4 linked regions of the Astyanax mexicanus genome follow. The protein of the gene in region 2 interacts with the protein of the main gene of each other region in a pairwise test. Links are inferred from orthologs where the notes say so. Each region holds a gene or a part of one and is shown on either strand. Other genes may lie near its edges.

What was found.
Region 1: the proteins of c19h1orf109 (region 2) and keratin, type I cytoskeletal 13 interact in binary tests that used the Homo sapiens proteins (3 or more experiments, as listed by UniProt). The two-hybrid records come from large-scale screens. The link is inferred for Astyanax mexicanus from reciprocal best matches to the Homo sapiens genes AIRIM and KRT19.
Region 3: the proteins of c19h1orf109 (region 2) and ppp1r12c interact in binary tests that used the Homo sapiens proteins (3 or more experiments, as listed by UniProt). The two-hybrid records come from large-scale screens. The link is inferred for Astyanax mexicanus from reciprocal best matches to the Homo sapiens genes AIRIM and PPP1R12C.
Region 4: the proteins of c19h1orf109 (region 2) and tfip11 interact in binary tests that used the Homo sapiens proteins (3 or more experiments, as listed by UniProt). The two-hybrid records come from large-scale screens. The link is inferred for Astyanax mexicanus from reciprocal best matches to the Homo sapiens genes AIRIM and TFIP11.

What each region holds. Positions count from the first base shown.
Region 1 is NC_064410.1:31,872,309-31,879,403, reverse strand, and holds keratin, type I cytoskeletal 13, read right to left. Parts: upstream 3,011-7,095; 5' UTR 2,952-3,010; coding exon 2,454-2,951; intron 2,036-2,453; coding exon 1,953-2,035; intron 1,860-1,952; coding exon 1,703-1,859; intron 1,581-1,702; coding exon 1,419-1,580; intron 1,297-1,418; coding exon 1,171-1,296; intron 1,082-1,170; coding exon 858-1,081; intron 721-857; coding exon 600-720; 3' UTR 507-599; downstream 1-506. UniProt on the Homo sapiens protein: Involved in the organization of myofibers. Together with KRT8, helps to link the contractile apparatus to dystrophin at the costameres of striated muscle.
Region 2 is NC_064410.1:53,551,206-53,558,704, forward strand, and holds the start of c19h1orf109 (uncharacterized protein C1orf109 homolog), read right to left. Parts: upstream 3,002-7,499; 5' UTR 2,723-3,001; coding exon 2,454-2,722; intron 1,635-2,453; coding exon 1,455-1,634; intron 583-1,454; coding exon 464-582; intron 357-463; coding exon 316-356; 3' UTR 1-315. Other genes in the region: cdca8 (borealin), read left to right, coding at 3,896-3,989, 5,263-5,391, 5,556-5,593, 5,697-5,772, 5,867-5,931, 6,202-6,281, 6,380-6,475, 6,664-6,793 and 2 more. UniProt on the Homo sapiens protein: Part of the 55LCC heterohexameric ATPase complex which is chromatin-associated and promotes replisome proteostasis to maintain replication fork progression and genome stability.
Region 3 is NC_064412.1:31,240,540-31,248,172, forward strand, and holds the start of ppp1r12c (protein phosphatase 1 regulatory subunit 12C), read left to right. Parts: upstream 1-4,617; 5' UTR 4,618-5,065; coding exon 5,066-5,271; intron 5,272-7,633. Other genes in the region: psmd12 (26S proteasome non-ATPase regulatory subunit 12), read right to left, coding at 1,067-1,195, 1,312-1,371, 2,806-2,913. UniProt on the Homo sapiens protein: Regulates myosin phosphatase activity.
Region 4 is NC_064420.1:33,029,873-33,037,770, forward strand, and holds the start of tfip11 (tuftelin-interacting protein 11), read right to left. Parts: upstream 3,012-7,898; 5' UTR 2,922-3,011; intron 1,705-2,921; 5' UTR 1,701-1,704; coding exon 1,492-1,700; intron 737-1,491; coding exon 571-736; intron 27-570; coding exon 1-26. Other genes in the region: naca (nascent polypeptide-associated complex subunit alpha), read left to right, coding at 5,503-5,572. UniProt on the Homo sapiens protein: Involved in pre-mRNA splicing, specifically in spliceosome disassembly during late-stage splicing events. Intron turnover seems to proceed through reactions in two lariat-intron associated complexes termed Intron Large (IL) and Intron Small (IS).

The sequences.
Region 1 (7,095 bases), about 22 Mb from region 2:
TGTATATGAAACCTCACCATGATCACTATATTTATCTTATCCCAAAACCTAAGCCTAACATCACCCCCAAAACCTGATCCCAACCCTAAACCCCAACACGCTTAAGAATTTACCCCCCTGTTTGTTATCGACATGAACATATCTAGATAAAAAATATTATTTGAATAAACAAACAAAGTTGAGAGTATGTGGCATTCATGCTTTTTTATGCTTTTGTAGTGTATTTTGTGCTATGGTGTCAATCAGAGAAGGATGAGCTTGTACCCTAAATCTATCATAGTTACATTCTTGTTATGTTGGCTATTAAGAATATAAATGTATGTATTTAATCATGTTTACACTATTTGCATTTCATGATCATTCTTATCCTTTTTTCATAGTTTTTCCCAAATGATTTCTACAAGTAGTACCTTAGGCCATACACAAATTCCAGCATCCCAACCCGTTCCATCGTTATATTCCATAACATAAGCAGAATAACTGAAAAACACACTCATAAGCTTAAGTAATGCTTTGAACACTTTATTGATTTGTGCATCAGGTAGCGATGGGTTTCTTGATGCTCAGAGTGCTCGTATTTGCTGTACTTGTGAGTTTGTTCACAAGGTCCCACTCACAGCCTTGGAACTGGAGCTGACCACTTTGCCGTCCACCACCTCTTCCACGATGGTCACCACTTTGCGGGTTGTGCTGGAGCTGGAGGTCGATTTCGCGGTTGTGCTGTTCAGGTAAAAAGATTGAGGAAAAAAAAGACCAGTCAGTTAAAAGGAAAACATTTAATGCTGTTATTGCTGAGTCTAAATTCTGAGAAAAATGCGTAATACAATAAATGTTGCTATTTCGCTGTGGAAACTCACCTGGCACTGGTCTCTCCATCCAGCAGTCTTCTGTACTCTGCAATCTCCATCTCCAGTCTGGTCTTGATGTCCAGCAGCATCTGGTACTCGTGACCTTGGCGTTCCAGGTCAGCGCGCAGCTGCACCAGCTGCTCCTCCATGTTGGATACTTGCATCTGGTAGCCAGCTAGCTTGGAGGAGTAGCGTGCCTGCGTGTCTGCAAGTGTGTTTTCCAGTGAGGCTTTCTGTTGGGGAGAGATCAGTTTGGTAATGGTGTTCCAGGACAGATTATTTTAATTTGATTGGAGGCGAATGTGTTCTGCCAGTTACATACCATGCTGAGTTGTGATTGAAGCTCGATTTCGAGCCCCTGCAGTGTGCGCTTGACCTCTGTGATTTCTGACCGGCTTGTCTGGAGGGTTTCTGTGCTTTTGACGACTTCTTTGTTCAAGGTCTCGGTCTATGAAAAATAAAGTTAAAACAAAAAAACTATTATAACAGTCCAGTAAGGTTCGCAGTTTATAAAATACAGAGAAATACCCAAAACTTATATATATATATGTATTTTTAGCTTTAATTTACCTTGGCCTGGAACCAAGCCTCGAGATCTCTGCGGTTCTTGGCAGCGACAGCCTCGTAGTGCTCACGGATTTCAGCCATGACTTTGTTGAGGTCTTCCTGTGGCTTGGCGTCTACTTCTACGTGGACCTGTCCACTCATCTGGGAGCGCACAGCCAAGAGTTCCTGAAGATGCAAGGCAAGGACAGTGTCAAACAGTGTCAAACAAACCATTGACTTAAAGCAACATGATGACATAAGTATATTTGCAGGTCAGTTTGGCTTTTCTGGCTTTTTGACACACTCACCTCCTCATGGTTCTTCTTGAGGAACACCAGCTCCTCCCTCAGACCCTCGATCTGCATCTCCAGATCGGACCTGGCCAAGGTCAGCTCATCCAGAGCTCTCCTCAGCCCAGCGATGTCAGCTTCAACAGACTGTCTCATCGCCAGCTCGTTCTCGTATCTGTGTAAGACATGATGGATGGATCAAAAATCTGCAAGAATGTTCAGTTTTATGAGGAATGCTAAGATTTACGTCTGTTTTTTTTGGACTTACTTGACTCTGAAGTCATCTGCAGCGAGCTTGGCGTTGTCAATGCTAAGGTAGATGCCTCCATTGACACGTGTGGCATCCTGGATCTTCAAGAAAGAATAAAGAAGCAAATTAGCATTAAGTCACATTGAAAGGTCAGTGGTATTTCTGCATTGTTTGGTATTATTTGAGATGAGCCCTTCTTTAGAGTTGTGTAGGAGTGCTTTATGTTCTAACTGAATGGTGGGTTGAGGTAGGCACTGGGTGTGGTTTACACTCTAATGGAAACTATACTCATACAGAATAACTGATACGGTAATGGAAGGAGGTCAACCCAGAAACATTTCAGTCATTGTAAAGTAAACAGAAGAACGGCCTAAACATCTGCTTATTGCTCAATATAAGTTTACAATATAAGTTTAATGATCTGAGAGAAACTCAGATCATTAGAGTGTCCTGACCTACCAATGGACCCATCTTACACTTTAAAGGGTCCTTTAAGACCACCAAAACAACTCAACATACCTTGCCCTGGAGGTCAGTGATGGTGGCATAGTATGCAGAGTAGTCTCGAGCTGTGGGTGATGTCTTGCTCTCCAGGAACTGGCGGATCTTCAGCTCCAGGTCGGCGTTGGCCTTCTCCAGAGAGCGCACCTTCTCCAGGTAGGTGGCCAGGCGGTCGTTGAGGTTCTGCATGGTGGCCTTCTCGTTGGCGGACACATCAACAGTATCGGACATGTTGAAGCCGCCTCCGGCACCACCACCGAAGCCATAACCACCTCCAGCTCCTCCAGCACCACCACCAAAGCCATAGCCGCCTCCGGCACCTCCAGCTGAACGGAGGAGAGCAGGACCACTGGAAATGCGAACCCCACTGCTTCCTGCACCTCCATACACACTAGAGGACCGCATGGAACCCATACGGCCTCCGGCTCCACCAGCAGACATGCGCATTGAGCCACCAGATCCTCCAATCAGGGATCCCCCTGAGGAATAGCCACGAGTGGAGTAGGTGGAGCTCATGTTGATGAAGGGTTTCTGTCAGTCTGCTCTGGCTGAAGAGGAGTGAGTGCAGCAGTGAGGGATGGTGAGTTTTTATACAGGTTGAGAGGGGAGGGAATAAATGAGAGTGAATGGGAGGAGGAGGAGGATTATTGAACCCCTGAAGGCAAATAGACTCATGCACAAGAGTCCATAAACACACACACACACACACACACACACACACACACACACACACACGCACACACTCCCACAAATCATATGGGCTGCAGGTGTCTACACCCACCCAACAAAGGCATTGAAAAGTAATAATACAGCAGATTCCAAAATGTCAGTTATAAATCCTCACAGAGAAACTTTCCTCAGCTCAGAGTTATGTAAAGTCAATCTGCTAAACATGATACATTCAGTAGATAAGCCGTTAACCCCTAAGGGTCTGTATGGTGATACAGCTAACTTACACTAGTTATAGTTTCATAGAAGACTATATTACACCTGCAGGTTTAAGTATTAATAAAACATTTATGATATCAAGAAGCATCTGCACAATTTAGTTGGGAAAGGAGCATTATCTATTATGGAGGAACGATAAATACCTTCTTAAAATATTATTGACAACCAGTAAAAAAAAGACTATACAGTATATTTAATAGTGTTAAATTAACGCTGCGAGTGTCAAAATTGAACACTTTCAGGGGCCTATCTCACATCTTATTTCACGTCTTCCACCAGTGTTGTTCAAATAGCAAAGGCGCTTATAAATATATATGTACACATAGGTACATTTCTGGCATATTGCTATAATGGGAAATGGAAAACACAGGTGTGCCACTGACTTATTAAAACCCTGCATTCAACATTGAAATGTCAGATGTTTATTGCTATCTGGGCAGCAGCACTGCACGACCCAACTTTTACATTAACATAATTAACACAAAATAAAATAACATTGCTTTACCTTCACAGTGTGCACGAGCCTGGTCAGTTTCCTCTGCTGAGAAGTGCAGAAGTGCCAATCTGCCAAAGTCAGAGGGCACACCTGGTTCTTAAAGGGAATGTGAGGCAAGTGATATGCTAGTAGGTTTATTTTATGTTGTACCCAAAACACCTATGATTAATTAAGAGAATTAGTACATGCCTTTTGTGCATTTCAAGCCATGCGAGGAGTATTTTTCCCATAACTATGATATCAAAGAGACACTGACACACCCAAAATCAGGCTGCACTGTGCTCGGTTGGTGGCTCGCATGGCACTACATTGGATTTGCTAGATAGACTTTTTTTTCGTCCAATATTTGCACATATTTGCACTGTTTTATCCCTTTGTACTTTGTAATTTTGTTGGAGGGAATTGTAAAATATGGAAGAAAAATAAGCATTTACACTGACAAAAATAAAACTTTATAATGCACAATTTAACTGCAAACCATTGAAATGTGGTTAAACCACACAATGAGTTTCTTTATATTGATGTGAAGAATTTAACACAATTATTTGTTACTAACATTTCAGTTATAGTCAATTCAGAGTTCCATTTACGTTCAGTAATAATTGGACACTAGGACGAATTGGAGCTTTTTGATATTTCAACATCAATGTGTTTTATTGCAATTTATCTACAACAACCAAACAAAACTGATATGACTGTAGTTTATACAGGATACTGTAAAGTAAAATATATCACTGCTGCTAAAAGTCTTACCAGTGAATGTATCATGAATAGAAACACACTTTTCAGGTTTGTGCACACATGCATGAGTCTGAGTAAACATAAGCATGCACTCAATATATGCTTATGGGCTGCAGGTGTCCACACCCACTCAGCATAAGCAGAGGAAAGTAAGAGTGGGTCAGATAGTGCAGGTCATTTGTCATAAATTGCTCTACTCCAGTTATGTGAGGTGAAAAGGTGAGGTGAAAAGTCAAGAATGTCATCAGTTCTCTTTTGAACCCCAGGGGTCCTTATGGGGGTCCACACTGAATAATGAACCTGTTTAAAGGCTGATTTGTAAACATGGCATGAATTCATATTCATATATATGTTTCTCAAGTTTGTGCTCACTAGAGATGTAACTACATATGTTTCCAAAATAGGGAATCAACAGATCGTCTGTTGTATATAGATACAGATTCAGACACCAATAGGAGGCGCTATATTCACTTGCTTAAACAGCCTGTGCTGCCAGGTCTGACTAGTCTATGGATCCACATGGTAACCAGATGAAACAGAACCTTAAGCCCCAGTCACAAATGATTGCAAAAACACACAGCCGCTCTCACAATATTCTCTGAGCTCGTTGTAGTAGGAGTCTTCCTGTTTTCTTTGCCTGGATTTTCACTTGGACACCAGTCACAAGTATCACTTTTACCCAGTACAGGTTAGCTGCAGGTTTGGTAGAGTTACATTTAAGACATTTTAATACCACTCAAATACAAATTAAGACCACATTCCCAATAATAATTATGTCTAAAAGCCCAAAACACTCACTTAAATGTACATTTTCCCCTATTTTCTTCCAATGTAGCTAGGGCTATTGTCCCACCCATTCAGCTGCTAGTCAACTGTATATCCTCCATCACAAGTGATGCCACAAGACAAGGAGAGTGAATACTAGCACATGAATCAGAAAGACAGACATCGCCTCTTTTCAAACTGCTGCTGATGAAGCATTGCCGAGTAGCATCACAGTGCGCTCGGAGAAAAGCGCAGCGACCGATACATCAGCTCACAGACGCCTTGTGCTGATCGTCATTAACCTACGAGGGAAGAGGGGAAAGGGCGCCATCTACCCACCCAGAGAGAGCAAAGCCAACTGTGCTCTCTCAGGGCTCCGGCAGCTGATGGCAAGCTGCATGACCAGGATTCGAACCAACGATCTCCTGGTCATAGTGGCAGCACTTAAAACTGCTGGACCACTCAGCACACCCAGCTTGTGGTTCTTGTATTTTTATGACAAACCAATATTTCGACCAAATCCGGGGCTAAACTGGAGTTTACTGTCTACTGTTTTTAGTAATTCCTGGAGAACTGTCTCCTCTAGCTAAAAGAAAGTAATTTATGTATGTGAAAATAGCAACCCTCTGAGCCATTTATAATGCTATTGGCTTTGCTTATTACAGTCTGCTGTTAAATCAGTAAAATAATTTAAGCTAACTGAGGCATATGGAATTTGGAAAATGAAAAACATTAAAATAAAGCCAAAATTGTTTTTAGTTTTATTATGTTTTAGACCTTTACTTACTTATAATGTAAGAAACTTAAAGACAAGTAAAACCCTTTTCTAGAACAAAATTTGACTTTTGAAGAATTCATAGACACCCTGCCATGAGCTTGGTTCAGCAGGGGCAGCATGACGCAGTTAATGTGGGTGGTGCTTTGATCGTCACACTACAATAATAATATAATAATAACACTACAATAACAATATGCATCTCTAACCACCTCTGAAGGCTTGAAATGTGTCATCAGGACTGATTGTTTCCCGTTCACACCTGTACTTTATGCTAACCACTTATGATAAGATCTCCCAGGATGCATGTTAATGCTGGGAGGACAGGGAGGCTGAAATGAGGATGTTTTAGTAGAGTGTTGAACAAAGCTGAGTGTCAGAATATCTCCCAGACACATTCTTAAAAAAAAAAGAGCTGGTCAGGGTTTCTCTGTAAAGGCAATATATGACAGAGGCCCACCAGACAATGGTAAGGACAGTGAAATTTTCATAGGCAGCAACTCACACACATACATCTATAAGTTGCAATGCCTTGGGGAACCCCATTAAATAAGGCTAGACAATAGGCCTACTACACATGACCTGTTTACAATACTGCCATCTGGCAGGCGGTGCTGCATAATTTAATCCCAGTGCCCTACACACCCATTTACTTTATAATTTTACTATAGAACTGCTATGGGCACTGTCATCAAACCGCTTTCAGCCAAAAGCCAATAAAAAAGAAGGAATAAAAAAAGAAAGAATGAAACTTGGTGGGCAGTCGCGATTAGAATGGTAGCAGGTCCTCTTCAGTAATGAGCCACCTCTTTTTTTTGTGGGCGGAGACAACCTATGAATCTATATGTGGAAGAAGCCAACATCAGCAGATTGGTTTATGGTTTATGTAAAACTGAACAGACATTTTTCCTAAATCTGACTTCCCGTTAAACTAA
Region 2 (7,499 bases):
TTTTTAAGAGGGATATCAGTCTTGTTGAGGCATTCCAGTTGAAATTTCCTACTCGGAAATCCCGAGATCTGAGTTTAAATGGAATGAAGTATTAGCACTAAAGTTCTTGAAAACTCAAATCACAAGCTCACAAGTTTGTAGCACACAAAGATGAGAGTCAGACATTACCAGACACATCTCTGAAACTCATGTTACTAAGGCTCTGTCTGGTAATTACAGCAAAGTGTGACACTTCTTTTCCAGCCAGGTGCTCGTAACTGAGTGACGTAAGCTGGGCAGAAAGTGGTTAGCCAGCACACGGCTCAGTAACACTGTTCACTCCGACTCCATGAAGAAGGACACTTGAAAAAGTGCATCTAAAACAAGAACACAGAATAAATACATTACATAACTTATATAATGAAGAGCAGAATGGGAAAACAGCAGAATGCTTCAGTATCTGTTGGTGGCAGAACTATTTTACCTGATATTCTTTCTTCTTTATCAGGAGAATCTAAAGATGCCCATCTCTTTGGTGCTGCTTCCATCAGTGTGAGGTCATCAGGCTTTAAGGTCCACAACAGGTTCTTCCTCTGTATGTATCTGAGGATGTAACTGAGGAGAATAATATAACATACTTCTACTTTTCACACTAATCTATTAAGTTAAAATAAATCATTTATTTTCTTTACTATACTAAGTTATTTTATTTTAACTGCCTTTGTGACTTACATCTGAATATTAAGTATTTTTATTGTAAAAACAGTTCCAAATGAAAAAGAAAAAAATAACTGATTGACATATGGTTTTTCGTTTGAAGGGCTCACAAAAACAACTAAAATCAAGGGAAAATGTAAAATCATTTTGAAATACTAGACTAATCTAAAGAATCCGACCAGCCCTATTGTTCAAGAGCGCCATATCATTAACAATTATAATGACTTTGAGACTCAGATGCTGCTCATCCTAATACATTTCTACAATTTCGGTTGCATTAAAAGGCATGATTTGTCAGAATATTCACATGTTTACTTACATTTTTTGTTGCAGAGTTGTGAGGTTTGTGACTAGAATCAAACACCCGATGCTGACTCTTATCAAGAATTAATACAAAGTCTAAACAAGTATAATTTATTTGCTAATAAAACAGCTGTATGTTACAGCCCAGCATTGTTGTTTTGGCAACTAAAAAAGCCATTTTTATTGTGATGACTGAACTATCGTGTAACATTTGGCACCAGAGAAAAGACCAAATTAGCTGTTTCAAACTGGTTAACATAAAATCATAATCTGAAATGTGATAAGGCAAGGGGAAAGCTATTACATTTCTATTAACAATTATAGTAAAACAAAACTAAAATTCAATGTTTTAAATGTTATGATATCAACATGACCGGTGATAGCAATAAAATAAAAAGAAAAATGTCAGGTTAATTTCTAAATGCCACTGATGAATCTTAGCACGTCTAGGATACTGAACACGGTAGTAGCACTCTGCATCCTGGAGCCATTCCAACATATCAGCAATAGATGGAGAAGTGGCAGATCTGGCAACACAAGTGTGCAGATCCAGGGAGTCTGCATTCTGCTCATACAGCTGGAAAACTGCAAACACCTGCTTACTTGTGGAATCCCGAACTCCTTGAAGTGTTTCTCTGCAGAGCAATAAAACAAAACACTCATGGATGAGAAAATTCATAACATCGCTGTTTAAATCTTAATAACCCAAAACAGGAAAAACTTTCCTCACTTCCTTTAAGTACAGGATTTCATATACATACACTGCATTCGCCAATTGCTAGACATGAGCTAGAGAGGTATAAAGCATACATAACATTTTGAAATTATGAATAAAATACTTGATAGCATGTATCTGTAGAATCAGAAGACTTAATTCACCAAGAACCTGCAGTGCAAGAAATCGGTGTAGGTTTCAGACATACATTCAAAGTTGAACTTTTAAATGTAGTTCTGGCCTTCCAAATGTGATTGGTTTGTTAAATAACAGCTAAAGGTTTATTTTACAGAAAAAAACTGAAAAAACTGTTTTTGAACACATATTTGTCTGCATTACCTTTTATCTTGTGTGTTAATTTTTATTTAACTTGTTTTATATTTGTTTGTTTTCCTTATGCCAAATGAAAAGGACTGTTCCTTTTCATTACCCTGCTTTAGAAATGCAGGTAAAAATAAGTCAATATCATATTGTGCAATAATGCAATGATAAAGTTTAATTTTCATTTTGTTGCAGTATTTTGTAATATCTTTAAGAGTACCGTTATCATGGAAATACCATGAAATATTGTGATATTATTTTAGGGCCATATCTACTGTACAGCTTTAATATAGTCTTTAATATTAAATGTACAATGTAAAAAAATCATAAAAAGAAAGAAAACACATTGAATGAAAAGAGGTGTGACTGTTACTGTATGTACAGCAACAAGTTAAAGTGTATATATGCATGAACTTACATTTTTTCACTTAATTTCCCTAAGACAGTGTCTACTGCCTGTGCCAGCTTGTGCTGGAGACGTGGTTGTAGATCTGGAAAGTGACAGAGCGGAGTGCTGGCTAGATCTACACTCTTCAGCGCCCTCAGCTGCTCGGCCAGGTTCCCCAGAGAGCTGATCAGAGGTGAACACTCGACCAGAGCAGATCTCCAAACCTCCTTGTTCACCTGAACACTCTGGAAGCATTTCCTTAGCTCCTGCTGTAAGAGCAGCAGTGCAGGCTGAGACATAGTTAATCTAACTAACTATAGACTACTAAATTACCGCCTGTCTGAGTGCAGCTAGCTCCAATACTGCTAATCTGACCAACATATCAACCCTCAGTATGAAATATAAATGCTCAATGTATATATTTAAACGCTCAATCCCTGCTCACATATCTGACAAACATAAACATACCCAGTTATATGTTTTCTATAGTCTTCTAAAGAATGTTTACCATCTAATACCCAACACGTGCTAGCTAGCTTAGTTATTAACAAACCCAGCACCAGCATTTTGATGCAAGTCAGAGTGCAAAACGATTTTCTGTCATAATAAAAGTTCCCCCAAAATGTAATAAAATTCTGTTTTAAGTCTGTAAATTAAATACTATGAACTAGGTTGACAATATATAACGTTTAAAACTAATTAAACGTTTTTTAAAACTTAGAAACGCATAAAATAATGTAGATAATCAAAGAAAAAGTAAGAAACATACTGTTCTTTATAATGTCTCTTTTTTATTATTAGAGTTATATCTCCGCAAAACTGTGTAACATAATACTTGTTTTAGTACAATTTCTTACTTTTTATTTTATTATCTACATTATGTATGCGTTTATATGTTTCAAAAAGCTTTTAATTAGTTTTATACTCTATATATTATTAAACTAGTTCATAGTATTTCTTTTACAATTTTTTTATTCCATTTAAGGGGGCTCTTATTTTGACAGAAAATCTTTTCGGACTAAGCTACAAAACACATGACACATGCTTTCCACTAAGCTCTTCAGCGATTGGTCGTTTTTTGTATTGTTCCTTAAACAGTAGCTGATTGGTCCGTGACGCCGGCGTAATAGACGCATACAGAAGCTGCCCGGTCATTGGTTGAGCTGCTGCTCCGCGAATGAATTTGAAAAGTGTTGCTTCCAACCGCCACCAGTTTAGGGAGCGTCGAAAAGCAGCGAAAGGAGCAGAAAAATATACAAAAATAAAAGGAAATATAAAGGAATATAAAGAATTCAGAACAGGTAGGTAAAGAATATTGTCTTAGAAGTGTTGTTAACACAATGTTTACACGTTTAAGTGTGCATAAAATTAAACATTTAGCGTGTAATTATCTGGCCTAGTGTTATGTTACAGGTCTACAGTAGTTAGCTAGTCAGCCTCAGCATTGCGTCTTTCTTTCTTACAGAAACACAATGGCTCCGAGAAAACGAACAACCAACGCTAAAACCAAGAAGAATATAAAAATGCCGAAATTAGAAGCGTTTCTTCTGGACTTCGATGATGAAGGTAAGATTGTTTACACTAAAACCATTGACTATTGTTAACTTTAAGGCTGCTTACGCAGTTAGCTTGCATTAAAAAAGACTAACTACAGTTAAAATGCCAGCTGGGAGGATCCCAACAGGTAAAATGTTTAAAATATGGTTAAAATGTGAGCTTTAAGCTTTTGTTTATTATTTTTGTATTATTCCAATGTTAAACCTATACTGTATTATAATTCTAGCTAGTGTTTTGGTATAATGAACTGCCTTTAACAGGAAAATGACAATAATGGAAATTTAATTTTGATGGAGACCACAGCTCCACAGCTTTTATCACAGCTATTAAGTAATTTTTATTTTGGGTCCTTTACTCAATTCACACAGACATGTTTTATGTTTTTCTATAAATTTATTTTATATATATTTTTATGTATATAGTGCAGAATGTGTTTTTTTGTGTGTATAGCTGTATGTATATTTGTAGCAGGACCGACAAATTGAATAGATTGACAAATAAGTAGTAGTTACATACACTCGTGCAAAATACAATGTAGATTTATTGGTTAAATGTTTTTTATGCACATGCCTAATTTTGTTTAAATAATTATTGCACACTTTCTGTAAATCCTCTAAACCTAATTTCACTTTTTTGTCTGCTGTATGATATGTTTAACTGAATAACCAATTATTTATAAACGAAAAGGATCAGGGTTTTTTTGGCTAGACAAACAAATGGCAGTGTGACCTTAATGATACGGACGGACGATTGGATGGATACATTGGAAGATAATTAATAAGTAGTAGTGTTAAAGTATTGATATTTCACAGAGTAGTTAGTATATAGTTGGAGTACTTACTATGATGCATGCATGGTAGCTGTGAATTTAAAAATTCTGGGCAAAATAATTAAAAGGAAAGTGTCCAGTGCAGATAATGCAATATCATTGGTAAAAACAGATTTACAGTGCTGTATAATCTCATGGCTGCAAGAAGAAATTACCTACAGCAGGACAGGAGGAGTCTGTTGCTGAATGTATGACTCTGATCATAGAGAAGCCCTTCCACCAACTTTATAAAACATTACACAGACAGACATTTTTGCCAGTATCTGCCTCTTCATGTTTTTTACTACATCCAGTTTAGCCCCAAAAACTAAGCTCACCTTTCACCAGATTAGTCTCTTGTTTGTGTCAGGAAGTAGTTAGATTTCGTCGTAGTTTCTCATCTCGGGTTTTAGTAGGGGACTGTTCAGCTTCAGTAACATTTTAACATCAAATGTTATTGATTTTTGTACACAGTGCGCACCATAGTGGAGAGGATGAAGGACAAGACCAACAATCTGTTAAAGGATGCAGACAACCTGTACAACATGGCTCTGATCAAGCTGCCTATGTCAGTGCGACGGATGAACTGGATTCAGTACTGTGGTATGTACATACACACTTCCGTCCATTTTAGCTACATAATTCCATTCATGTTTTATCACATTGTGTTCTTTGTTTATCTACCAGGTGTTAAGAGTTTGTGTTTTAACAGGCAAGGGATACTGTTATAGGACATTCTGAATCTTATGTTTTATTCTTTTACATAGATTCTGAAAAGCCAGAAGCACCTGTCGATGAGTCCAAGGCAAGTCCTCATTTCCACTGTTGATCATCTCGGAATGACTGTTTTAAGGTTTTATGTGTGAGATGTACATGTTCTATTTTTCATCTGTTGTTTCTGCTTGCAGCAAAAGGAGGTGGCTGCACAAGTAGAGATGACCATAGCTCATGATCATGCTGTTCCTCCAAAGTCTGCCAAAAAAGGTAACTACTGCTTTCTTTTGATCTTGTTTTTGATATTATTCTTAGTTATTTCTGTGATGGTGATGTTAATCATGTCTTCTGTGTTTATTGATAGCTGCTAAGATCAGCTCAGGCTCAGAAAATGAAGAGAACTTAGTACCCAAGTCTACGACAAAAAAGGTCAGTCTAAACTGTTAAGATATTATGTAGCTAAACAAAGAAATCAGGTCTGCAACAATTTTGTGGTCCTGTATTTTGAAGGTGCGAATATTCTGTTTTGCCATATTCAGATATGTTTGGTCCCCCCCCCCCCCCCCTCTTCGTTTTATCATTGTCATTATTTGCATTTTTTTAATTAAGATTAAAGAGCTAAATGTTTGTTTTTTTTAAGTTTTATCCATCCTTATTCTATGGCTTACAATTGCCCTAATTTTGTCATGTTTATCACAGGGAAGGCAAAAGAAGGCACCTTCAACTTCAAAGAAAGCCAAAGCTCTTTCAGTCAGCAAACAGAACAACACTATTAGAAAGTAAGTTTTATTTCTTATCTACATTTTGCTCATTTTAGGTGACCATTAACTATTGTATATAAATGTTCATTTACCGGTAAATTATTATTTGATTGCAGATCTAGTAGAAAGCCTTTGGTCACCCCAGCAAGAAGTTTCCTGGATTCCTCCATAATCGGTCCGACACCACTCATCACGCCTCGCTTTGATTCCAGGTGACTCCATAATTTTTAATTTGGCCAAATTTCAGACTAAAAGAAACTGTTAATAGAGCAGCCAGGTTTAATCAGCTACTGGCTACTGTTAAACATGGTTGCCTGGTTGACTCTTTAATGGAATGTCAGTGTTTGTTTCCTGGGGGTAAATTATGTGAATTTAAGTATGATGTACTCTTATCTTTTAGGTTGCCCAAGACTCCTGCAGTGCGAGTTCCCCGTCACAGAGAGAAGGTGTACAGCATCTCTGTTAACGGATCTCCTATTGCTGGAAGCAGTGAGGACATTGTCATTAATGTCCCTCTGGGAAGTGGAGAGGTTTGTTGCTTCTTCTGTCTCAAGCTAAAAAATTCAAGTGTCCTTTTTTATTTTTTAGTCAGAAAATAACAGCAGCTTCTCTTTGTTTCCTCTTTTCTCAGTGTATTCAGCTGCTGGCCAGTGAGATGGACTGTATTGATCTGAGCCAGTTGGATGAGAAGGCGGTGCGCAGTATCAGACAGCTGCAGGTATTTATTTGTTGTGAAGTGGAAGCCTGTTATTCCTTAAATACTGTAAAACACATGATTTACTGTTCTGTTTTCTTTTGCACAGAGCCGACTCACAACCCTCTGTGGAGGATCCAAGTGACCTGACTGCTTCTGCTCTCATTTCCTTTCTTTTAAAAAATCAGACACCACCCTAAATCGTCACACTTTTATTCCTGTTTATAAAGTAGCTTTGTCTAGTTTTATCCTTTTATCTTTGCATTTCTTTTAAATACTGTCTCCTTTTTCTGTCAGGAATTTTCATGGGCATTTTACATTTGTACATATTTCCGTTTGCATGTAGTGTTTTCACATGTGGTGTCTTGTAATATGTTTGTAAATACAATTCATTTGCAACAGATTTCAGATTTTTTTTCTTCTTAATTGTATTCATTTTATACTATTACTCATGAGGTGAATTAATACTGGATATGTATATTAGGAAATTATACTCAACAATGGACCTTTTTTGTTTGTAAGTGAAGTGCAACTTTTCACCA
Region 3 (7,633 bases), on a different chromosome or scaffold from region 2:
AAATAAATCCTATGCTGAAAAGCCAGCTGGTTGACCAGTTTAGGTCTTGAATGCTTGATGAAATAGCTAGTCCATCACAATCATCAACAATACATCCAGTATGGTATTTACAGTGATGCTGGTCATTCATCTTGGTTAGGTAAGTCATGTTACTGGACCAGCAAAACCACCAAACTTAAACAAAAATATACGGTATGATGGTCAACATGCTTTGTTACACTGTTTGATCCTTTTCAGGATTGCCACCAAAATGCTGGTCAAAAACTAGATCAGTCTTTACCCGTTTGATTAGCTTGAGTTGGCCAGGTTGTTTTTTTTTTTTCTTCAGCAAGATTCATACAAAGTACGCCAAATAATCCTATAAAAAGAAGGGTGGTAATCCAGATGTACTCTAACAAAATGAATTTGTCCTTTTGGTATTTAGTTCCCCCCCATTCTGAAATGTACCAAAAATGAAAACAATTCATTGTGCAGTTTGAGATCATATCATGCCACAACTAAGGATGTTTTCAGACATGAAAGTTCATGTCTTCATGTTCATGTGTTTGGTTTTATGGTATACTTTTGGTCCCGTTTGTTTAGGGGAATCCAACTCCCCTTCACCTGCACCCCGCAGCAGAAAGAGTGTAAATTATCATCATCATATTCCTTTTTTCTGTTTGCAATTGTGTTAATCTAATGTTACAGTAAATAAATTATTCTCAGTCTAAATGTTCGTGTCCATACTGATTGTTTTTAAGACTGCCTCAGTGTTCTGTAATTGGTCCAAAAAATCTGAACAATCTAGAAAAGTGCTTTCATGCTGCAGACGAACCAGACTATGGTTCAGTAGATCCGGACTAAGGCAATCTCTTTTGGTTGAACCAAACTCTGGTCCTTTGGTCCTGGAATGAATTGCACACCTGCTACTTTGGTTCGGAACGAACTGAAAAGTCCAAAAGGTCCTGACCAAACAAGATAGGATGGAAAAGCCCTCTAATTTCCTAAAGATCAGTCTTTAACTACATAAATACACACATGAATGCATATAAATGGCATGTAAAAACGTTTTGCATTCTTTTCTCACCTGTTTCAGCTGACTCCTCCTCTTTGACAACAGCATAATGTTCTCATTCAGGGAATCCCAGTCTTTAGCCTCATAACACATCTGCACTATGGCCACCAAAATCCTGGATGTGGACACCATGTCTGAAGCCTGGATGTAAGAAAAAAGGCGAATGGCATTACAGCTTAAGTTTATATAACTGTTTCATTTTTCATTTAATATGATTTGTCGAGTAAGGTGAAGAGTGATGGAACAGGCAGACTAACCGTCCTTGTTTGCTTCTCCAGAGACAGCAGGCCTTCAACAGCTTCCTGAAGTCTCCCTTCCTGACAAGATGAAAAAGCAACAATACATTAACAACTTAATTACAGTGCATTCCTACATTGGGATCTCTTTTGCACATCCATGCACATTTGTATCGGCCAATAACTGCTTTTTTTTTCTTCAGCATCGATAGATGCCGACATAGTTGCAGACGTTGGTTACACTACTACAACTCCATTAGCTACTTTAAAATGTGTATGTATTTGTACATCATTGCATCTCTAGTGCTTTTTCAATCAATCTGAGGAAGACATAGAGCCCTATTTTAGCAATCTATATCAGAGAGTCACTTGCCATTCTATTTAAGAGACAGCTGTGCTCTGACTTTGGCGGATTGGTATTTAAGCGTCTTTGCTATTTAAACGATGCAAGTGTAAGGCATAGACTGTTTGCGGGGTGTACGATAGCCATGAGCATCACAATGCCCCTTGCACAGGGTGCAAGATAGGGCCCAGGTTCTCTTAAGAGTTCTTCCTTTTTATCTGAAGGATTATTTTTCTTAATTAGGCTACTAAAGAGAAGTATTGACTTTGCTGCTTTTGATAAGAATCTTTGTGAAAAGCACTATATAAACACATATGAACTGAAGTAAATTGAATTGGATTTCATTTACAGATGTTTTACATAGTTATGTTTTGCTTTAAACTCTTCACTACATACAGCTTTGGAAAAAAAATAAGGGACCACTTTACCAAATTGAAAACCTCTGAAATATAAATCAAGAGGAAGATGGATGATCACAAGCCATCAATGTATGAGCATCTGAATGTAGGAAATCGGGCCTGGACTGACTCAAAACACAAAACAAAGCTAAAACAATGACCATGTATTTGGTTAATAAGTTGGTTTGCTGATTTTAGTCCAATTCTAATACAAATCACTGTAGTTAACAGTATTGTTACTGGATATTTTCATTAGTGGTGAACTAATGTGCACTAACTAATGCTTCTCTTACTATATCTGCTTAAAGACAAGAACCAAATCCATGATTTCCAGTAAAGAAAGGAGGAAAAACAGCTTTCATACTGATGGCGTATAGCTTTATTAGCAGTAAATAGACGTAACCCTTTAAGTAAGCCCTAAGAGCAGAAGACTATAAACACTGTAACTACAGTTAACCTACTGTAAAGCAAGTCTGCACTATAGTGTCACTATGACCAGCTAGTAGCTAACTACTATATTTAACATTTTGGTCACATTTAAGCCCATATTTCAGTTTATTACACATAAGGAGTGTAAATAGGTGCGTAACAGTAGCCAGCTTGGAGCTACACATTCGTTAACTTAAATAAAATCCACTAAGCTAAGCTAAGCTAAGCTAACTCAGGCTAGGCTAAGCAGTGCGATGTAATACAATGTTAGACTAGGCTAGCCTATGCTAAGCTCACTCTCCGCACCGTGACTCAGCCGCTAAACTCCCGTTTCATTCAACTCACTTTTGCCATTTTCTCACACTCAGGGAGACGCTGGTCTACAGTCGAGCTGTAGTCGATCTCCATCTTCACAATCTTGCCATCCGACCTCTCAGACCTGTCGTCAGACATCTTTATATTTATTTAACTGTGGTTTAAAAGAGAACAACAAATTCACCCGATACCTTCCACACAGGCTGCTAATGTGCTACACAGCTAAGCGCTGCAGACGAAACCTATTTCTTCTGTGGTCGCCGCTGCGGAAATACACCGAGTTACAGCTACAGCCGCCAGGAGGTGGTGTGCTTTCACAAGTTCCCTGCATATTCTGCTCCCCCTGGCTTCCGGTCTCAATACAGGGACAATATCTGAAAAAAAGAATATAATTGAAAAGTTACTTTATTTCAGTAATTCAGTTCAAAATGTGAAACTCATTTACACAGAGAGCAATCTATTTTAAGCGTTTATTTATTTTATTGTTGATTATTATGGCTTACAGCCAAGTAAAACGCCTAAATCAGTATCTCAGAAAATTTTAAGATTATATAAGACCAATTGGTACTTTTGGCAATGTGGGCAGTGTGCCAAGTCCTGCTGGAAAATGAAATCCTCATCTCCATAAAATTTGTCAGCAGAAGGAAGCATGAAGTGCTGTACGATTTTCCAGGAAAACACTGCACTGACATAACACAGTGGACCACGTTAGACCTCTACCTCCACTTTTCCTCCAGACTCTGGTTCCTTGATTTCTAAATGAAATGCAACATTTACTGATGATCAGTGATGGTTTGAAGAGTCATGTCATCTGCTGGTGTTGGTCAAAGTCAGTGCAGCTTCTACCAGGAGATTTTACAGCACTTCATGCCTCCCTCTGCTGACTTTTTTTTGCTGACTGATTTTACGGAGATGGGGATTTCATTTTCCAGCAGGACTTGGCACACTGCCGTTGTCACAGCTCTGTTTTGGATCTGCTGGAGGAATACCAATATTTGAGGTTAACAGCATATCAGTTCCACGTACTGAACTATTATTGTTAAGTAAAGACAAATCAAATTTGATATTTGGGGGGGTATATAAACCTGTACATTTTAATTTAATAACACCAATCTGTCATTATTGTGTCATATAAAAGAGTTAAGAATGTCAAAACTCCCTTCTTGGCTTGAGCTGGATTTATTAATTGTAGGCACTAAAAAACTGAGCAATTGTATCACTGAATATGTTGTCTTCAAAATTATTAGCAACATTGGCAATGTCATTCGATTAATTGCAGAAATCCAGTAAAAAGGACTGTACCAAAACAAATACATTTTCACTCCACTTATTTGGAACTTCATCAGGCAACTTATAAGGAAAAGTATGTACTATAACCACAGCGTCAAATCAAACATTACAGAAGTGTACATGTAATTCACATGTTATTACTACAAAAATATTATTTACATTTTATATATTTTAAAACAGTAAATGTATAATTTATCACATACACATACGTATATTTCTTAAAGGTTTCCAATATAATCACTGTTTTAGTAATAGACAATTTCCAAACTTAGACAATGTTTGTTTTACAATATTTACATAATAGCAAAATATTAACTCTGGTGATAATTACAGGATGTTATTGTTACGGTGTCTGGTTTTTAATTTTTATCTGGGCCTTTTTTTTGTAGTATAATCTTTCCATTATGATTTATAAATCAGGCAAGCAGGATAAGCTACTAACTACAGGGTCCTTCGGGTGCAGAGTTGTGCAGGGAAGCACAATATGATGCACCGCCTGAACCGAATGATCAAATGTTGGCGCGCCCTCTAGCGGTTACATCAGAAAGTGTCGTTTTTTTGTTTTGACAAGCGGTGCTCTGAGTTAATGACAGAAGAGGGGAGCCGGTGACAGCTAGCTTTGATTTTATTAATGGTTCTGTCCGCGTTATTAAACCTATGTGCTCCTGTCAGAGCGCCGCCGAGTCCGCGAACAGAGCCGGTCTAGAGAGGTCTGTGCGGGCCGGAGAATTTCAGGCCGTTTTACGGCTTTGTAGTTCACGTCCAGCTTCGCAGCAGCAGCAGTAGCTAGCTTAGCTAACTTAGCTTGGCTAACCTGTGTTAGCTTAGCCTAGCCACCCCTCAAACTTCCTCTGCGGCCGTTTGAATAAGGAAGCAGCAGCAGCAGCCTGTTAGCTTAGCCAGGCTCTGCTAGGCGCGTAAACACAGCTCGCCATGGAGGGTGTGTCCGAGTGAGCGCGTATCTCTGTCCGGGTAAATACAGCGCCTTTTCTCGGGAGAAATGGGCGACGGAGCGAAGGCTCAGCGCCGGGAGCAGCTGAAGCGCTGGTCGGGCTCCTGTACGGACCAAGAACCGGCGGTTCCGCGGAGGCGCTGGAGGGGCGAGGAAGAGGAGGAGGAGGGCGACGAGGATGAAGGCGAGGCGGTTCTGGAGGGGAGACTGCGGGATGGAGACGGACCTGTGCGGAAAAAGAAGATTAAACGAAGGTTTTTAAATTAATCTCAACATCTTTTAAACACATTTACACGGCCTCCTTCATCTTTACAGCAGCGAGGCTAAAGCCCAGGCTGTTAGTCAACAGCAGAGCCAGAGGTTGAGCAACCAGTGTCTTCTTTCAGGCCAGGTAGCGTTATCTATCTAATCAGGATCACTCCTCTACAGATTCAATTTACTATTTTTGTTGTCTCTGGGACTAAGCCATTTGTATTCAATACATACTATACATTGATATTAGGTCTAAAAGTGTAATTAGGAGCTCCGAGTGGTCCAGTGGCTAAGCGCTGCCTCTATAATGAACAGAAGATTGCCGGTTCCAATCCAGGTCATGTAGCTTGCCATCAGCTGCCGGAGCCCTGAGAAAGCACAATTGGCCTTGCTGTCTCTGGGTGGGTAGATGGCGCTCTCTCCCCACATAGGGTGATGTATCGATCAGTACAAAGCGTCTGTGAGCTGATGTATCGGAACCGAGTCGCTGCGCTTTCCTCCGAGCACGCTGACTACTCGATAATGCTGCCTCAGCAGCCGTTCAAAAAGAGGCAAAAAGAGGCTGACTTCACATGCGCCAGAGGAGGCATGTGGTGTTGGGGCATCACTAGTGATGTCCAAATGAGTGGGTTGGGTAATTAGCCATGTAAATTAAGGAGAAAATGGGAAACAAATAGAAATAAAATTCTATATAAAAGCGTAATTATAGTATAGTATTCACACACTGAAAGAGCAGGTTGATATGGTTTTATTATCATTTACTATTAAGTTATATCACATGACATTTTCACAATACACATTTATCATATATTGTCACAGACAAATGCATCAGCTGCATCAGATTCTAATATTCTGCTACTCAAATGCCCTTTCATGTATAGTACTGTGATTCCTATGTAATTTTTTAGTTTTGTGTTTATTAAGTACTTATGGTACCCTTATTGATATGCTTATATGATGTGCTTATTGTCAAAATCAATATAGTGTTCAGCTCTAATACATATTAAGTCACATGATGTCACAAGAAATATATGTCATTCTCATTAGATTATAATTCTTTATTATAAAATACTATTCCATTATCATAAGATGACAAGCCATTCTATATAGTTATTCATTATTAAGATACTAAGCATTATGAGATGCTAAGCCGTGATGTAATGCTAGATCATTATCGTGAGATTTTCATCTTTATTATGAGATACTTAGCCTTTTTATGAGATACTAAGCTATTACAGTTAGTTACTAAGCCATTACATTAGATGCTTGGTAAGTCATTGTTTTGAAATAGCAAGGGATTTCAGTGAGATACTAAGCCATTATCCCAAGATGAAGTAATTATCATGAAATCATAATCACATCTCTTTGTGACATACTAAGCCATTACAATTAGCTACTAATTATGAGTTACTTAGTCATTGTCATAAGATTATACATTTTTGTTAAATAGTAAGCTGGTATAATGAGATATCATTATCACAAGATAACATCATTATCATTTGATAGTTATTATGGGTATCGAAATTGTCTCTCCCTTTCTGCCGCTGTCTTTCCATCATGGGCTGTGTCTCGTCTCGTTGTATCAAAAAATTTACCCATTCCTAGTTATGAGATAGTAAAATATTGAGATATTAAATTGTTATTATGGGAAACAACATAATAAATAAGTTGGGGAGTTTGAATTTTAGTACAGAAAGTAAAAATGAAGAGAAAGAACACAGGTTTTTGTTCTCACCCTCCAGTTGGGAGTGGACTTCCATACTGACAAGAAAGAAGCCCACAGTGTTCTGTCCTACAACACAATATACATAATACAATAGAGGAGAAAATGCTTGTGCCGGAAATTATAATTACAGTACAGTACACCCCCATGTTTGTTTATCAGTAATACTGCGATTTTCATATGTTGGGTTAACCATAACAATCCCATGTTATCAAAAATAAGATGATATAATAAAGTGATAGATGTTTTTCTTCATGTGGTGTAATTTGTTGCATTTGTGGCATTTTAGATAATACAAGTTCAGAAAATACATAAATGAAAAGGAGCCTGTCACATATTAGTTTTATTAGTGCACTAGATGGGTCTGGTTTCTTGGTTGGGATCTTTCGGCTGAAACTCAGTCGTTTAAAAACAGAGGATGACATTTTGAAATACTAAAGGAAAGGAATGGGGGGTCAGAAACGAGCTATGACAAGCATGGAACTCAGGATAACGTGGTCAGTGAGATAAAGAACAACAGAAAGCTCCACATGGTTTCGTTTTGGTGTAGTGCTTGGCTAAGATGAAATGGAAAAATGGCTTTTAAATAATCTCTGGGTGTGTAGTATACATTGTTTAGCTTGTTTTGTGCAGCTTGACAA
Region 4 (7,898 bases), on a different chromosome or scaffold from region 2:
TTATGGGAAGTCTTAAAGTTCCCACCCTGGAGGATGTAAACCAAATGAATAGTTACAATGAAATCTATAAGTCTTAGAAAAGCTAAATAATATTGGCACAAGGCATTAAATATCAATATTTTTCCTGAAACATAGACATTGTAAACCCCCCAAATTTGACTTAATAAGGTTACTGCTTCATTACTCCACGTGGTGGCACTAATCAAATAAACAGGTTAAAAAATAATGGTTGTCAAAATCTGGGAAACTGACACCAATAAATCTATAATCCAAATCATCCAATCATTTCTGGTCTTTACCTTTTTTTTTTTTAAATAAATTTTAAATCTTCTTTAGTAATCCAGATGCTTTGAAATATCATAGAGAATTGTCTTGCGATATCATGGGCAACGTATGTATACCCAATTGTGTTGAAATATGTATCTTACAAAAAAGCATGATCGTAAATGAGACATTAGACCCAAATTGCCAGATTATATTCAGTGAAATTAGCTGTGAATGCTAGAATACCCACAAAGCAAAATGAAATGGCAAAAAAACAGCATTACAAATGTAAGTATTTTGCACTACCGTCTGAAGCTTTTTGGGTGCAGTAGCACGGGGTGGTGGTGGTGCTGCTGCTTCTTCATTCTCGTCTGAATCATCAGAGCCCTGCTGCTGTTGTTGTTTCTCTTCAGCTGCAGTCTTCCTCAGGCCAGCACTTATAAAGTTCACAGGGGCTGAGTAGTCCTTCGATCTACACAGTTTTTCACATATGGAGCAAAATTAGAATCTTCTCAGTGGCAAAAACAGAAGCAAACCATCCTAATGCTAATTGTTTTAGTTAGTAACTGACTTCAGTTATTGCTTATAGAAAGGTTAAAAGTGGTGGTTCTGGAAATAGGGAATTGGTAAATTATATATTCAATGAAAGAATAGAATGGGTCTAAACTGAAGGTAATAAATATTCCTACCATATTAACATCATCATAATAAATATATTAAGGATCATCAGGGTTTAAAGTACTCTGACCCAACTTTACATTTAATTACAAGGGGTGTAAATATCCTGTTTAATTGGATGATGTGCAGCAGAAGAGGTTTAAAACATTGTGATAAATATTGTGTCAGGAAAATATCTGTATTGTGTTATATTGAGATAAAATACTTTTACCATATTGCCCAGCTCAATCTGTGCATGATTAAATACACCCCAGGTGGTGACTTGTATACTGTTAAAATCTATTAAAGGTTTTATATCTCATTGACCAAAACATGACATATCACAATATAAATTTTGGTCATATCAAGCCCTCTGAGCATAAATGTTCACATTTTACATTTAGAGAGGGTGATGACAGATTTGCTATGTAAATCTTCACATTTTTCACACTGTTTATAGCAAACATTATGTATTAGCAAACCAATAAGTGTTTTCCTGAGTGTGGTATCAGAAAAAAAACAACCTCTAACCATAAATTAATTTTAGAAATTAAAGTAATGTTTGGGTACCTCTTGCCTCCAAAGCTGGGTCTTTCATCATCAGAATCATGTTCAGCCCATATTCCGTAAGTAGCCTCCTCTTTGGTCTGTCTGTGCCGACGTCTATCTGGATTAAACTCATTGGCCAAGTCCCATTCAGACACCTCAAACTTCTCAATCTCGACCCCATCCTCCTCTTCCTCTCCTCCTCTACGCCCATACAGATGGGACATAGACATTATTCTGCAGGAATTAAAATAGCACATACAATGAATGGCATTCAGTCGACTGGGCAATGTGACAGTACTGTTTTTTTTCTGAGCATACCATAGATATTATAGAACATTAACTAAAACGTCTTTTATTTTGATATTTTTTTGTGTTTTTACGTTTATGACATATCTCCCACTCATATAGATAATCTGCTAAACCACCAGCTAGATACGTCTCTACAGTTAATCAGAGAAAAACACATATCATTAGCTAGCTACACACTAACAGACAAAATTTGCACAATCAATAGATGAACTTCATCACAAGCTAGTTTCTGTGTTTCTCACTAGGGCACAACAGCAGCACAATAGTTGCTGAAAGTGGCAGTCAGAAAGCACAAGCCAAAAGTTTGGACACACTCTCATTTAATGTTTTTCTTTATAATTTCTTTCAGCAAGTATTGCTTGTTTAACACTTTTTGTTGACAAAATAATTGCACATGTTGCTGTTCCTGTACAGACTTACTGTCTTTAATATGAAATTTACAATGTAAAAAAAATAACATAAAAAGAAAAGAAAACACATTCAATGAGAAGTCCAAGCGTTTGATTGGTACTCTGTACCCATTTAATTCATCTGTTAGTTAAACATTTGGACACATTCCATTAGCAGGCTAGCTAGCTACTGACTAATAGAAACAATTAGCTACTAAATTAACAAACGAAAACTACATGAAAGAGGTTAAACCTACCTATTTTTGAGTAAGGCACAACTGCAGCACAAGAGTTACTGGGATATTATGTTAGAACCACTCAGCTTATTTACTAACTAGTTAGCTAAACTAGCTAAGCTAACTAGCTAACCTAGCTAGACTGAAGGGGAGGCTTTTTGTTTATAAAAGAGATAGCTAGCTAACTAACTAGCTTATTTATATTTACACAGCTGTTATTCACCCTAGAGGTCGTTAATCCTTACGGCAACCCGTTAATACGTCTAAATAGTATCTAATTCGGTGTGTGGACCCAGGTTAGCTAAATGAGCTAGCTAGCTTCACATTAGCTTGGTTAGCCAGCTAGCTAACCCACAACAACAGCGTTATAGTAACGTTAGCCCAAAGTTAGCGAATGCTAGCTAATCTCGCTAGCTAGGCCTACTGTTTGTGTATTACCCATCCACCAACAGAGACCGTTAGGTTAAATAATTTAATTTAAATCAGGAAAACGAGCACCAGCAGCAGCAGCACTCACCTGTCTGTGTATAGCGCTAAGCAGACAGCGCTAATCTTCAGCTATAAACTGCGCAGCTCCTTCCTGTCGGCCTGTCTCTGTACAGGAAGCGCGGTGTGTATGTCACAGTGACGCAGAGGTCAGAAACCCTCTCTCACAGCCATCTTGGACCCCGAGCCCAGACCTAGTAAGTGTTCCTTCTTTCAATCTTGTGGCATCCGAGCTTTCTACGCTTGCTTGCTTTGCCAGAACCGGCTAGAATCGTTGGGTAAAAGCTCTTCTCGGATAAGGGCTGAGTATTGGCCCGTTTCGCGTCTCCAAATATTAGATATTGTGGTTCAATGCTGCCGGCAGACTCTTCAAAATGGGGGAGCTGAGGCAGCGCCTTCTGTCTGGCTGGGCTGGAACATGACAGTTGTGTTTTTTAGTAATATAGTTAGTTATATATGTATATAGGCTTTTCTTAATGATTTTTAGTGAAGCTAAAATTCTTTAGAGTGTTTAGTGAGTGAGAGAGCCGGTTCGTAAGGTTGGCCAGCCAGCTAGCTAATGAACACTAAGGTCTGGGCTGCCTGTGAACTGGAGAGCTAGCGGTTAGCTAACTAGATAGGTAGCAGCGCTTCAGGTCTTGCTAGCATGTTCATGGAGAACATTTTAGATAGCTAAGCTAGCTAGTCACGTTGGCACATGGAAATGTATGTGTAGTATTTCGTTTTTTACAGTACCTAACGCTCTATAGTTCCTTTAGTACGTTAGCTAGATTAGCCTGAGTAGCCCAACGTTATTTAAAAGGCCAAAATAGTTAGCTAAACATGACTTAAAGCCCTTTCCCCAAGCACTTTAATACATAGGGTAGCTACTAGATCGTTAGCTAGCTTAGCTAACTAGATAGTTCGTAGTTTGGACTGACCTTAGGTAACTAGTTAGTCATGTTTTAATTAGCTAACTTACCAACGTTGTTACATTTACTTTTTAACCCTCAAGAGCTCAGACCCACTTCTAATTATTGAATTCAGAAATATATTCAGAAAAAATCATGTGAGTAGCTCATTCGATTATGTTGTCACTATGAGCACATGACTTCAAATATTTTAAGGTTAAAATCCTGAAAACACAAATGATTAAACAATTTCATAACCTGTATCCTAACAGTTTCTAGAGTTTGTGTTAGAACAAGTTAGCCAACTATACGGCTCTGGTAAAAATAGCAGAAAATGAGAAATGGCTGAAATAACAAAAAAAAATATGCAGAGCTCCCAGACCTCAAATAATGCAAAGAAAACAAGTTCATTTTCATAAAGTTAAGAGTTCAGGAATCTATATTTGGTGAAATAACCCTGGTTTTCAATATCCGTTTTCATGTATGTTCTCCTTCACCAGTCTTACACACTGCTTTTGGATAAATGTATGCCACTCCTGGTGCACAATTTAAAGCAGTTCAACTTCGTTTGATGGCTTGTGATTATTTCTTACTCTCTATTATATTCCAGAGATTTACAATTTGGTAAAATCCAAAAAAACTTTTTTAAGTGGTCTCTTTTTTTTTTCTAGAGCTGTATATATTCTAAAACGTCGAGTTAAAGCATTTTAAATTGTTAACTTAAATGGTGTAACAGCTGCAAGCTAAAAATCTACTTTTAAAAAGAGCTAGTTTTATCTTCAGCACATAACCCAAATAAGGTCAGATTCACACACACACACACACACTGTCCTGTAATGAACTTAATTACAAAGTTCAGTCACTTAGCAACTACACTTGGTTAAAATGACAGAATGCTGTAGGGAGATTTACACATCTTTTAAATGGTTTGTGACACAGCTACTTCATCATATGCTCTTTTGGGTTAACACATCTACTCTGGTTTTTAGTAGGCCTCTCACCAATGTTTTGGACAATATAACAGCTGTAGTCCCAGAAAATACTGCTAAAACTGCAATAGTTATTCCAAGCCATGTGTAATGCTACTGATTTAACCATAATGAAGCATTACACATTACATTCTACAGAGCACCGGACTTCTATTCTTAATGTTTGTTTACATATCCTAAATATATTAAACATCATTAATGTAAAACTCTTTCACATTAATGGGTTCTTCCTGCTAGCTAAGTAAACGCAGGGGGCAATACTAAGGTCAGCAAATATATTACGAGGTTATGTCAATATACAAATAAATACGTAAACCACTAGAGCTTTTGAGAATTGGCTTGTTAAAATAATGATTCAGCAAAAATGGGCAAGGATCACACCTAATGCTGTTCTTTTCCCACATGTATTTAGTTGAATTACTTGAGTGTCTGATCTTTGAAAATTTGCTTATAATATGACAACACTTGATGGTCAACTCAAGACATATATTCGATTATATCGATATATCGATTTGCATAATATTGGTCTTAAAGATATAATTTATTTCCCCCAAACCCTGCACTATTTGTTAACCATTGGTTCAGTTTAGTACAGCTTGTGTTAAAGAAATTTGTAACTTTTTAATCATTTAACTGATTTTAACTTAATTAAACTCTTGTTTACTGATTGTGTGAGTAAAGTTGAAAAAGTTTGCTCTTTATTTATGTATTTTTATTTTTTTTGTAGACAACAATGCCAGGCGAAGCCACAGAAACTGTCCCAGTGACAGAGCAGGAGATGCAGCAGCCCCAGGTGGAGACGGGTATGTAGTGCTCATTTATAGTAGATTGTAGACTAACCTCTGTGTTTAGGGGTCTTGGAGCTCATTTGCTGTAGATTGATTGATTTAAAAAAAATCCTGATGGCAGTAAGTTAAAGCTTTTCCTCTTAAGGTATTTACAACTAACTATGTCTGACACTTGGTCTTTTTTAACTCCTTGTCACCAGCTGTTGTGGACATTATTTGTGCAGCAGGTTTGACTGGTGGGTGGGGGGTGGTGTCGGGTTTTGTTGAACGGAGAATGCAAGTTTGGTTGGGTTAAGATGGCCGACCAAACCTTGTCAAATTTAGACTGAAAGGGATTATTTTTAAATTGAGTTCATCCAAGACCTCCTTTTCCAGAAAGCAAAATAGTTGCCTGCGATGCCTGTTGTTTTTATGACCACGAGGCATTGTGGTAGTGTTTTAAAGCACGTGTTCACTGTTGTTTTTGTGCATGGGATTTGGATAAGTCAACTGTGCATGAATCATTGTTCTATGGAATGTCAGTTTCTAACCCCTACACACTAAGGCCGGACTCCTGGTTGACCCTGGTCATAGAATATTTTTTTCTTTTGATGGAGAATCTCCATTCAGAATACTCTGTGGTCTAAGATAGGCTTCATCTCTGTCTGAGACTACTTAAAAAAATATTTTGTTTGGAAGCTACTCATTGATTTTCTTCTTTTACATTGTACGTAGCTTGTTCTTGATTTTAGGGTTTTTACACACTTAATAGTGAGTGTTTTACTGAAGCTGTGTTAAAACTTTAAAATCTTGAGTGTTCTTTTGGGTAGATCATTTGTTTTATGTATTGTGTAGTCGGTATACCTACAAAAACCATATCCCTTTTTTTAAGGAGCACAGTGTGAAATAATTTAGTCATACTGAAAGGGAGAATAGTCAAGTTTTATAGCTACATTGATAGCTTCAGTATTGGTTTAGTTCAGTTCATCCTTTTTTATGTAACCTTTTTTTGTTTTATTTTTTTCTCTTTTCTCCCTGAAAACAAACCTTGTACAAGTAATTCTGTTGGATTCTCGACTCAAACCCTACAACTTTGACTGCATATTGCATCTGCTTTAGAAAGGGAATGGTTGATGAATAGCCACTGACGAGAGATCTGTTTAATAAAAAAAATGCTGTGTGGTTACCCAAGCTAGAGGTCATTTCAGCAGTACTTAAATGTGGTAAAATGTACTTTTAGGAGCAACATGTTACTTGTTCTTTTTATAAAGCTGTTTTGGTTGACTTCTTGTCTTAAAGACCTTTCTTGTAGCATCACATATGGTACTAGCAGGTGTTGGACTTTCACCATTCTTAACTGTGGGCACTGCATGGTAGAAGTTGGACATGTTGGGCACTGTTGGCAAACTTCACCTTCCTCCACACACATTTTTTGAGTGGTATATGGGCACCAACTAATGTTTCACTGACAAGCCATTGTAAGCGTGTAAATAAATATACATATAGTTTTGTTAAATGTGTTTTCTGTGGATAGAAAACATTAATCACTTTCTGTTGCATATATAAGATTCTGTGTACAACTGGTCACTTCATCAGACTAGTATCTGGATTGTATCCTGTAAGATTTTAGCCACCAGAATTGTGTTTACACTTAGTCTGACCTTATGTGGCTATAATCCTGATACTCAAGTAATGCTGGGCGGTATACTGGTTCGTATGGTACACCGGAGAGAGATTTTGAAACAGTATGTTTTTTTTTTTTTCTCATACCATTTTCTCTTTACCACTAGAGGTGCTCCGGAGCTCTGTTTATATATGTAGAAGAAGCACAGTAACCTCAGCTCAGTCTCACGCTGGTTTGCCTAAAGAAACATGAGATTAGAACTCCTGCAGCCTCTGCTGTTATTTCTTGCAATATGAGTAACTAAAGCTGTGTTTAAATACATTAATTAATACTGTAGCTTAAAGGATAATATTAATGCACACCGGACTTAATTCATTTGTCAACTGGAGAACTAGGGGAATTATGATAAACTAATAAACAGCTCCTTAAATACTGTAATGTCTCTGATGGCTTCAATAATAACACACTGTAAATTGATAAACTTGTGTTTTACTTGTGCAATAGAGCTTTTGAGAAATATCTCCTATATACTTACATTGAGTATTTTAGGTTCATTTATAGGTTATGGAACTATTTAAGATATTTAGTTTGGTAAAAGATGTGTTAGTTGTTCTCTTTTTAAAGTCTGTTGTTTAAACTCTTCAGCTGTTATTTTAATAAAGTCTGATTTCTTAATATATTCTGTAATTTTGAGACAAAGTAAACCCAATAGTAATCAAAGTACTTCTGTACTTTATT